Linked DNA regions of Arabidopsis thaliana. The protein of the gene in region 1 interacts with the protein of each later gene in a pairwise test. Each region holds a gene or a part of one and is shown on either strand. Other genes may lie near its edges.

Evidence for each region. Proteins that work in one complex are often made in the same cells at the same time.
Region 2: the proteins of AT1G31300 (region 1) and AAP3 interact in a protein complementation assay, tested with the Arabidopsis thaliana proteins (one large-scale study listed by BioGRID).

The regions. Positions count from the first base shown.
Region 1 is NC_003070.9:11,191,664-11,196,938, forward strand, and holds AT1G31300 (TRAM, LAG1 and CLN8 (TLC) lipid-sensing domain containing protein), read left to right. Parts: upstream 1-1,961; 5' UTR 1,962-2,175; exon of another isoform or gene 2,176-2,317; intron 2,318-2,574; 5' UTR 2,575-2,644; coding exon 2,645-2,785; intron 2,786-2,876; coding exon 2,877-2,965; intron 2,966-3,055; coding exon 3,056-3,194; intron 3,195-3,282; coding exon 3,283-3,357; intron 3,358-3,565; coding exon 3,566-3,687; intron 3,688-3,785; coding exon 3,786-3,861; intron 3,862-3,947; coding exon 3,948-4,007; intron 4,008-4,157; coding exon 4,158-4,292; 3' UTR 4,293-4,734; downstream 4,735-5,275. Other genes in the region: AGO3 (ARGONAUTE 3), read left to right, coding at 1-654.
Region 2 is NC_003070.9:29,074,379-29,079,086, reverse strand, and holds AAP3 (amino acid permease 3), read left to right. Parts: upstream 1-1,696; 5' UTR 1,697-1,834; coding exon 1,835-1,928; intron 1,929-2,078; coding exon 2,079-2,312; intron 2,313-2,396; coding exon 2,397-2,490; intron 2,491-2,596; coding exon 2,597-2,811; intron 2,812-2,904; coding exon 2,905-3,044; intron 3,045-3,135; coding exon 3,136-3,494; intron 3,495-3,591; coding exon 3,592-3,886; 3' UTR 3,887-4,208; downstream 4,209-4,708. Other genes in the region: AT1G77370 (Glutaredoxin family protein), read right to left, coding at 4,445-4,500, 4,595-4,708. UniProt on the Arabidopsis thaliana protein: Amino acid-proton symporter. Stereospecific transporter with a broad specificity for GABA, tryptophan and both neutral and basic amino acids. High affinity transport of cationic amino acids.

The DNA.
Region 1 (5,275 bases):
CTTATCGAAGCTCATTCTCAGGCCCCCGAGAAACGACCTAACAAGATTGTGATATTCCGTGATGGTGTCAGCGATGGTCAGTTCGATATGGTTCTCAATGTGGAGTTACAGAATGTTAAGGACGTTTTTGCCAAGGTTGGCTATAATCCGCAGATAACTGTAATTGTGGCACAGAAACGTCATCAAACCCGTTTCTTCCCCGCCACAACTAGCAAAGATGGAAGGGCTAAGGGCAATGTGCCTTCAGGTACGGTCGTTGATACCACGATCATTCACCCGTTTGAGTATGATTTCTACCTCTGTAGTCAACATGGAGCGATAGGTACAAGCAAACCAACTCATTATTATGTTCTTTCGGACGAAATCGGGTTCAACTCGAATCAGATTCAGAAACTCATCTTTGACTTGTGCTTCACGTTTACTCGCTGCACCAAACCGGTCGCTCTGGTTCCTCCGGTTTCTTATGCTGACAAGGCTGCTTCTAGAGGAAGGGTGTACTACGAGGCAAGCTTAATGAAGAAGAATTCTAAGCAGTCGCGTGGAGCGTCTTCGTCTTCTGCCTCGGTTGCCTCTTCATCCTCTTCTGTCACAATGGAGGACAAAGAGATCTTCAAGGTTCACGCAGGCATCGAGAACTTTATGTTCTTTGTCTGAAAAAAAGTTTGATCTTAAAATATTTATCTAAATAAGAACGTCTCATTAACGCAGTTCTTACTCCTTTTTCTGATTAGAAAGGATGTTTGTGCGTGAATCTAATCGTTAGATATGCAGTTTGTTTGTTTCCTTTTCGTTGTTGGTGTGTTGAAAATAGTTTGTATTTGGTATTGTAATGCTCTTTAGAGCTGAAACTATGTCATGTTATGGTATTTTATTATAGTTTTCAGACTTTGGATTCAATAAATAGTTCATATTTTGCTACTTCTCTGTTTTGTGAAGGGCTTGAGAACTCAGACATGAGTACTCTAGTTTTGGGTTTACATGTTCTGCCTTGTGTCTGAAATTCCTTTTTTCTAAACCATCTATTCATGTGGAACATTATCTATAAGGTTATTTTGTGTAATGATCAATTGATCATGCATCTCTACTTTTTTTTTTTTTTTTTTTCTTTTTTTTTTTGTCGTCGATCATGCATCTCTACTACATATGCATTCCAACAAAAAAAACATAATGGTGCTCTTGTTTTCGATATAATATCAGTTATGGGCTCTCTGTTTTTATTTTATTTTATTGGACCTTACTGATATTTCTTGGGTTCATGAACCATAGCTATACCAAATCATTAAGGTGGATTTTGCACGATTTCTCAATGTTTAATTTCATGTATTATATACTCATTGATTGGTTGTTTGCAGAATCTTATTTACTACATTGACTCTCAAGAGTCCCCTCCTATATTTCATCAAATCTATCTTTTCATTTTATAATTTTTATGTAATGATAGATTCCTCATAAATGTTTCTTGAAAACTATAAAAAGGTAACTAACATTTTTTTCCTATATATATATATGTGTGATATATATCCCATATAAAAAGTAGCAACAAGAAAATGATTTTAGAGAAGTGATACCAAACCAAATGAAAAAGACATGATAGTCGAAGTGATTCACACGAATCGAACTATAATAATCTATACTCTATCTTATTCACATTTTATCATCTTTTTGTGTTTCATGTTATTTTCTTATGTATATATTCATTTTTCGTATATTCTTTTGTTTTTATCAAAATAAATTCATTTTTCTTTTTACCCCACTCATTAACATAAGTTAGCCATATATTATTATAAGATTTTTTTCTTGCCAAATAAATGTAAGAGTTTCTTTTTCCCACAACTCATTAACAAAGTTTGGCATATGTAAAAAAAAGAATGAATTTTAAACCTAATACTAGCCTTTAAAATTCAACAATTATTTTATTTTTATTTTCTTATTTTCGTGCAACAGCTGGAGTGTTTTTTTTTTTTTTTTTTGTGTTCCCAGAGATCGAGTGTTTTGTGTTTCTTCTCTCTATCGTTCACATTTGATTAAAGCTAAAGCTTTCTTCTTCTTCAATTGATGCTACTTCTGATTTACCCTTTCTCTGCTTTTTTCTCTCACTCTCTCAGTTTTCTCCTCCTTGATTCCTAAAGTCTTCTCCTTTGCGTGCATTTCTTCAATTTTCAGATTCTTCCTAAGGTACCCTTCTCAAAATTCTTCCTTGTTTTGCGATTCTTCATCGGTTCAATGGATCCTCTTTGACTTCGATTTTGAATCCGAGCTTCGTTATCCCTCGATTGCTAATTTCACTCTTTTGTTTAGGATTCTTTCCCCAATCTAGGTATTGCTTTGCTTCTCTGTATCTATCGAATCTGCATTTTGTTAGTTTCGAAAATTTTGAAATTAGGGTTCATTTGTGATTTGTTCATACATCTTTGTTAGATTGCAGAATCTGTTCATCATTTTTCGAATTCACATAACTCAGATTAGTTTGAATCTATTGAGATTGAGAAATTTCTTAAAAACTCTGGATTTGTGTGGATTAAGATTAGTGTTTTGAGATTGATCTCTTTGTCAATATGGTTTTTTTTGGTGTAGGTGGTAGAATGATGAAATGAGAATCGATAGATAAGAGTTTAAAGAGCACCAGAATCTTTGTTATCTTGCAATGTCGACGACGTCTTTGCAAACGATTGGTGCTATTAAGTCTTATCATCATCAAGCTCAGCATTTGGTTAAGAATTATCTCTTAGCTGATCCTTTTATTCCTTACACTTCTGTCCTCACCGGCATTTTCCTTTGCAAAGTGGTAAGTTTGGATTTTTGTTTGTTACTTTCATGATTCTGTAGATCTAGGGACGATTGATTAATGATGGTTACGTTTCTTGTTTTGTTTGCAGGTTTATGATCTTTGTCATTTTATCAGCAACTCACATTCTAAGACTTATATCATCCTCACGAAAATTCAAAGAATCGAATGGAATAACCGGTTTGTGTTTGATGATTGTTAACTCTTTTTCATGTTGTGTGTGTGTGTGTGTCTATTTAGGTTTTTGAATCGTTTTGTATTGTTTGGCAGTGGTATCTCGACAGTTCATGCTATTTTTATTTCGGCTATGTCGCTGTACTTTGTGTTCTGGTCCGACCTCTTTTCCGATAGGTGGCATAATGATCTTGTTGTTTTCCGGAGCTCACGACTTTCTTCTCTTGGTTTAGGGGTAAGCACTCATTTTAGTGGATCCAAAAACGTTAATGTAAAAGTCTATGAGAGAAGAATTTCAACATTATTACATTAATGATTTGCAGATATCTATTGGTTACTTCCTTGCTGATCTTGGGATGATCTTCTGGAAATATCCTTCTTTGGGTGGAATTGAGTATGTAAGTACTTGTTCTTGTCCAAACACTTTACTCTATCTAGTGATTTCTCTCCAAAGATATTCAAAATCCTCCTTATATTCTGCTTGTTGATGTTTCAAGGCTTATATACTTGCCTTGCTACATTGCTCAACATTACTAATGTGTAAAGATAGCTAACGCCAGTCGCCAAAAGCCCAAAACTAAGATCAAGTTGACATTTTGATTTCAGATTGTGCATCACTCGCTATCGGGGGTTGCAGTTGCCTACTCTTTATTTTCCGGGGAAGGACAGTTATATACCTACATGGTCCTCATCTCCGAGATTACAACCCCAGAGATCAACTTGAGATGGTACTTCCTCTTTTCTTCGTTATACCATATACAAAACTTATCACGTTCGCAACCTTTCTCCTGACAAAAAAGTGGATTGTCTCGGTGGTCTTATGAAGGTACCTGGACACGGCTGGTATGAAAAAATCATTGGCATACGTTGTTAATGGCGTTTTCATCTTCTTGGCTTGGCTGGTACTTACAAATCCTAATCAACATTCGACTCATTTTGATACTAGGCATTTATGTGTCTACTTATCACTCAAACACTTTCATGTCAGGTTGCTAGAATTCTACTGTTCATATACATGTTTTATCATGTTTATCTCCACTACAACCAGGTAAAGCTCACTATCTAGCGGTTTTATTGATTATGCTGATACCCAATTGCTTCAAAACCTTCCCCATGAAATTAATACATCACTATGGTTTCATTTCCGGATTTTTTTTTATGGTGTGATTGAAATGGAATTACTTTGTTTTGTGGGTAGGTCATGAGGATGCACATCTTTGGTTACGTTCTGGTATTCGGCGTACCAGCTGCGCTCGGTGTCATGAACTTGATATGGTTCGGGAAGATTGTGAGAGGGGTAAAGAAAACATTAGCAAAGAGATGTGAATGTTGAGATTGGTGAGTCTTCCTCACACCGTTTCTTCACTTCATCATCTCCTTACTTCTTCGTCCCTCTGACATATGCCTGTCTCTCTAGTGTAAGTAGTTTTTGTCTGATGAAGAAAGAAAAACGAAAAAACAAAAATGATAATGATACGATCCTCTGACTCTGTAAATGATCAAAATTCAAGTCTCTTCTTTACGTTTTCTCATTATACAATGTAATTCTGTTTTCATTCTAATAGTTTTGGTTCTAGGGTTTTGATTCAATTTCTGCTACATTTCGTTTAACCGGAGTTCGATACAGTACTACCAAAATGATGAACAACTGTTTGGTGTTCAAGTTCTATGGAAGAGAAAACATTTGGTCACCGGTTTACTATTTTTTTGTTCAATATTCTCAGTAACAACAACATAACTATTGCACATACATCAACATAGGGATTGTAATTAAATAGTTAGATAAAGAATCAAAGTTTAGACATTATAACAGCTAGCAGAAAATAACATAGTGTAGAGTTTGGTGGAATACATGTATTTAAACTCGGCTCGTGAAGGCCATTATATGTCTAGCTGTTCGTGGTTATCGTCGGCTTATAGGCCCATTCAGTGAACACAACTGCACAATATGTCACATGAATTGCGTATTCGTATGTCGACATCAATGAGTTAGGATAATGTACGGATACAAACAAAGCTATGTGGCTGATTCTGTATTTAGTCTTGTTTACTTTAATTTCCATTGTTTCTATAAGAAAAAAAAATAGTGTTTCTTTCTTTTCTTTTGTTAAAAAGAATAGTGCTTCTTATTAGAAAAAAAAAAAAAATGTCAACACTATTCATTCTACCGGTTTTGATCCGAATAGTGATAGAATAATGACATTTTTACACAAATTATTAGAAGTTAATCGGTGTATAACCACATAAATAAACCATATAATCTAAAGTTTTTTGTTTGTATATCAGTCACAGTAAAACAATTTATAATCACACGAA
Region 2 (4,708 bases), about 18 Mb from region 1:
AAAAAAAAATAAAAAAACTGGTACATTTTGTATGCATTTTTGCGGTTATAAACTTTGGAATTGTAAAGAATGAACTAGATTTTAACCCGCGGTACACCGCGGAGACAATTTATTTTTTTAAATTAGTATATATAAAATTTTACAAATTATGTCTATCTATAAAATATTTTTATTTTATAGTTTATAATTGTTATTAAGTAACGTCCTTCTAAACCCGTTCCACCAAACTCGTCCTGTAAAAATAAACCGCGGTACCCCGCTAATTTAAATTTATAATTAAAATAAATATTTTACGGGATTGCAATTGTGTTTTAGTTTGTCAAACAAAATTTTGTTTTAAATAGTTGTCGAAATGTAGTTCAAATTTTGGAGACATAAGATTTAGTGAATAGATAAGAAATATATTTAGTTGCGTTTCGCTCATTTTAAGGGATTGCAATTGTCTTTTGGGTTGTCAAACATTTTTTGTTTTAAATAGTTGTCGAAATCTATTTCAAATTTTGGAAAAATCTGCGTGATATATGGGATTGGAATATATTTCGAATGTTTTTTTATTTGTTAATCAATTTATTGCTAAAAAAACAATAATTAAAAGCCAATGGTAGCCATTGTAAATAAATTCCAACTCCAGGATTTATTTCACAAAATGACTGCAACAATGTATATATAGATTCTATTTTTATGAATATAATTCCCTTTATATTTGGAGACTATTTCCTTTGAATGATGACTTGTCTGAATACAAATCTTCTCGTAAGTCCTTAAAGGATATTTGGTTTCCCACGAATCAAGCCAATACAAGTTTGTGTATGTCATTTATGTTTAAATGAGTTTAGTTGGCAAAGTAATCAAAATATTTCATTTCGAGAAGAACATATAGCTTACACGCCTCATAAGTTAGTTACCTACAGAAACTTATATGGTGGGGTGATATACTTTCGGATTCTAGGTAAGATATAGTATATGTGCGTTACTATTGCTCATACTATAAAAATCACCTTTTGGTTTTGAGTTATCATTTTGAAATCTACACATGATTGCGTGTACTCATTATTTAAAGTCGGCATAGATTTCTCCATATATATGTCATGATTCCATGAATGTTCTTTTAACATCTTAATGCGATAACACTTTACATTGAAATATTCAAGAAAAAACCAAGCTGTTTTCTAAATAAATTTAGTTTGTCCACGGTTAATAAAATTTAAAATTAGCGAAATACGTAAATAATCAAATGATATAACCAAAATGCCTATTATTTTTAAAACAACATTTTATTTTCTCTAATCTCATAAAATACTCTAATAAAATCTAGTTGTAAGTGAAAATAACACTAAGCTTCAAACACACACGTACATGAATGTTTGTTTTTTTCTTTCAAAAAAGCTGAACAATGACATTTTAAGTCCAAATGAAAACGATGGTATCATCTTGGACTTCCAATTTTCCATTGCCCATATTTTCTCTTTTCTTTTGTTTTTATCCAATTGGTATCGAATCATTCATATAAAATTATAAATCATGAAGTCAAATTTTTCAATAGTAACACTTGAGTAATAGTGGTCCTACCAACTTTTTACCAAGACAGATATATTTTTTTTAATACACTTTTTACCTTTTACTGTGTTTGCCTCAAATGAGTGTTTTTACCAGTTTCTGTGTATATAAATCTGCACTCCACTCTCAGTTTATCTTCATCCACAAGACAGTTCTTTAACAAAGTCATTAAACATTTCCCTTACCTTCTAAAGATCAACTCTTTCAAACACTTACTCTGCATGTAACTTCATAGATTGAACGAAGAACCAAAAAAACAGAGCAAAACAAACAAAAGATGGTTCAAAACCACCAAACAGTTCTCGCCGTCGATATGCCACAAACCGGCGGCTCCAAGTACTTGGACGACGACGGGAAAAACAAAAGAACTGGTAACAATGTTTCTCTCTTTCTCTTTAATTCATATTGAGACTTGGTTCTCTAATTATTCAAAAAAATATTAATTTGAACTCGAAACCTGCTCTGATTTAGTTATGTTGAAAAAACGAGAAAGTTGAAAGTTTTTAAATTTTGGGTTTTAGGGAGTGTTTGGACGGCGAGTGCACACATAATAACGGCAGTGATAGGTTCGGGAGTTTTGTCACTAGCGTGGGCTACGGCGCAGCTAGGTTGGCTCGCCGGACCGGTGGTGATGTTGCTCTTCTCTGCCGTCACTTATTTCACTTCTTCTCTTCTTGCTGCTTGTTACCGCTCCGGCGACCCTATCTCCGGCAAGAGGAACTACACTTATATGGATGCTGTCCGATCAAATCTCGGTAAATACAAAACTTCAAAGTAGAAATCGGACAATGGAGATCAGATCAGAACAGAGCATTAACATTTTTCATTGTTCTGTATAGGTGGCGTGAAGGTGACGCTATGTGGGATTGTTCAGTATCTTAATATCTTTGGTGTTGCTATTGGCTACACAATTGCTTCAGCTATAAGCATGATGTGAGTGTTCTCACTAATTAACTCTTAAAACTACGAAGTTAGGTAATGGACCAAATAGGTTTTGATGATAATAAAAAATAAACAAAATTTTGTTTTTGAAAAACAGGGCAATAAAGAGATCAAACTGTTTCCACAAGAGTGGAGGGAAAGATCCATGTCACATGAACAGTAATCCTTACATGATAGCTTTTGGATTAGTCCAGATTCTATTCTCTCAGATTCCAGATTTTGATCAACTTTGGTGGCTCTCAATCCTCGCCGCCGTTATGTCCTTCACTTATTCCTCAGCCGGTCTCGCCCTCGGCATAGCCCAAGTTGTCGGTTCGTTTCTTGAACCATAAAGCTTCTAGGGTCTTAAATAAGAACTTTCATAGGTAAAAAACTAATAGGTTTTATGTGTTTTGGTTTCATCAGTTAATGGGAAGGTGAAGGGAAGTCTCACTGGGATTAGCATAGGAGCAGTAACAGAGACACAGAAGATATGGAGGACCTTTCAAGCTCTTGGAGACATTGCTTTTGCTTACTCTTACTCCATTATCCTCATCGAGATTCAGGTACTTATACCTTCTTTACAAGTCTTGATGATCAAAGCCATTAATTACTGGTCCCATCATGAAGCTTTTTTTATTCTGGGATCTGAAACAGGACACAGTGAAGTCACCACCATCAGAAGAGAAGACGATGAAGAAGGCAACACTTGTGAGCGTCAGTGTAACGACTATGTTCTATATGTTGTGTGGATGTATGGGATATGCAGCCTTTGGAGACTTGTCTCCGGGAAATCTCTTAACCGGTTTCGGGTTTTATAATCCTTATTGGCTTCTTGACATTGCAAATGCAGCCATTGTGATTCACCTTATTGGTGCATACCAAGTCTATTGCCAACCTCTGTTTGCTTTCATCGAGAAGCAAGCTTCCATTCAATTCCCTGATAGTGAGTTCATTGCAAAAGATATCAAAATTCCAATTCCTGGTTTCAAGCCTCTCCGCTTGAATGTCTTCAGGTACAAATCTTGCCTTTAAACTAATGGGATCTGAGTTTTAAACATGATGTGTATGTAATAATCAAAGCTTCTGTGTGGCGTGGAATGGCTTACTCAGGTTGATATGGAGGACAGTGTTTGTGATCATAACGACAGTTATCTCAATGCTTCTTCCGTTTTTCAACGACGTTGTGGGTCTGCTCGGGGCACTAGGGTTTTGGCCATTGACGGTGTATTTTCCAGTGGAAATGTACATCGCGCAGAAGAAGATACCTAGATGGAGCACCAGATGGGTTTGCCTTCAAGTCTTCAGCTTAGGGTGTCTAGTAGTTAGCATTGCTGCAGCTGCAGGGTCCATAGCTGGAGTACTTCTTGATCTAAAGTCCTACAAGCCATTTCGAAGCGAATACTGATCAACTTGAATAGTAGCCAATTCAAAGCGATGACTAAGTCAGTTTTAAACACAATGGATTTATCAAGAACAGTCAAGAGAACCAAGAACCATGAATTTGGGAATTTTGATCAGCTTTTTTTTATATAGATAGAAGCAATAATGCTGTTAGTTCTTCTCTATAATCTTCTCTGTACCCTGAAGGCAAGAATTGTAGTCCTAATGAGTAAATCTTCGATTAATGACAGAGTCATGTGCTGCAACAGAATCATGAACTAGCACCATAATAGTATATTACCATTGTGGTAAAATTTCAATAACAAGTTCTTGTACTTGCTCTTCTTTCCATGATCTGATATTTGCCGTATGAACCATTCACTAAGGCACACAAGTATGGATTATTTAAGCGAAACAATCACCAGAGCAGTGCAGTAACAAAAGATCAAGACTTTATCAATGCCATCATAACTTACATAACTGAGTCATACATATCAATTCGCTTATTCAGTCTACAACTAGCAAAGATTTCTAATTCCTGTAAATCACATACTGTAGATTCCACATTCGAGGTCCTCAAATATCAACTTGCAGCAAGAAGCTTTTGCAACTGACCACTCTCCAAAGCAGCTCCAAGATCTGAAGCAACAAGATAAACAGCCAAGGCTTGTGAGTTACAAGGGAAATTTGGACAAAAGAATGAAACTTGGAGGAGATAGTGAGCTCATCATACCATCTGATCCACCAATATGCTTGCCGTTAACAAAAACTTGCGGGACAGTACGACGACCAACGAATTCTAAAAGCTCATACTGGATTTGATCTCCGTCCTCTGCAAAAACAAATC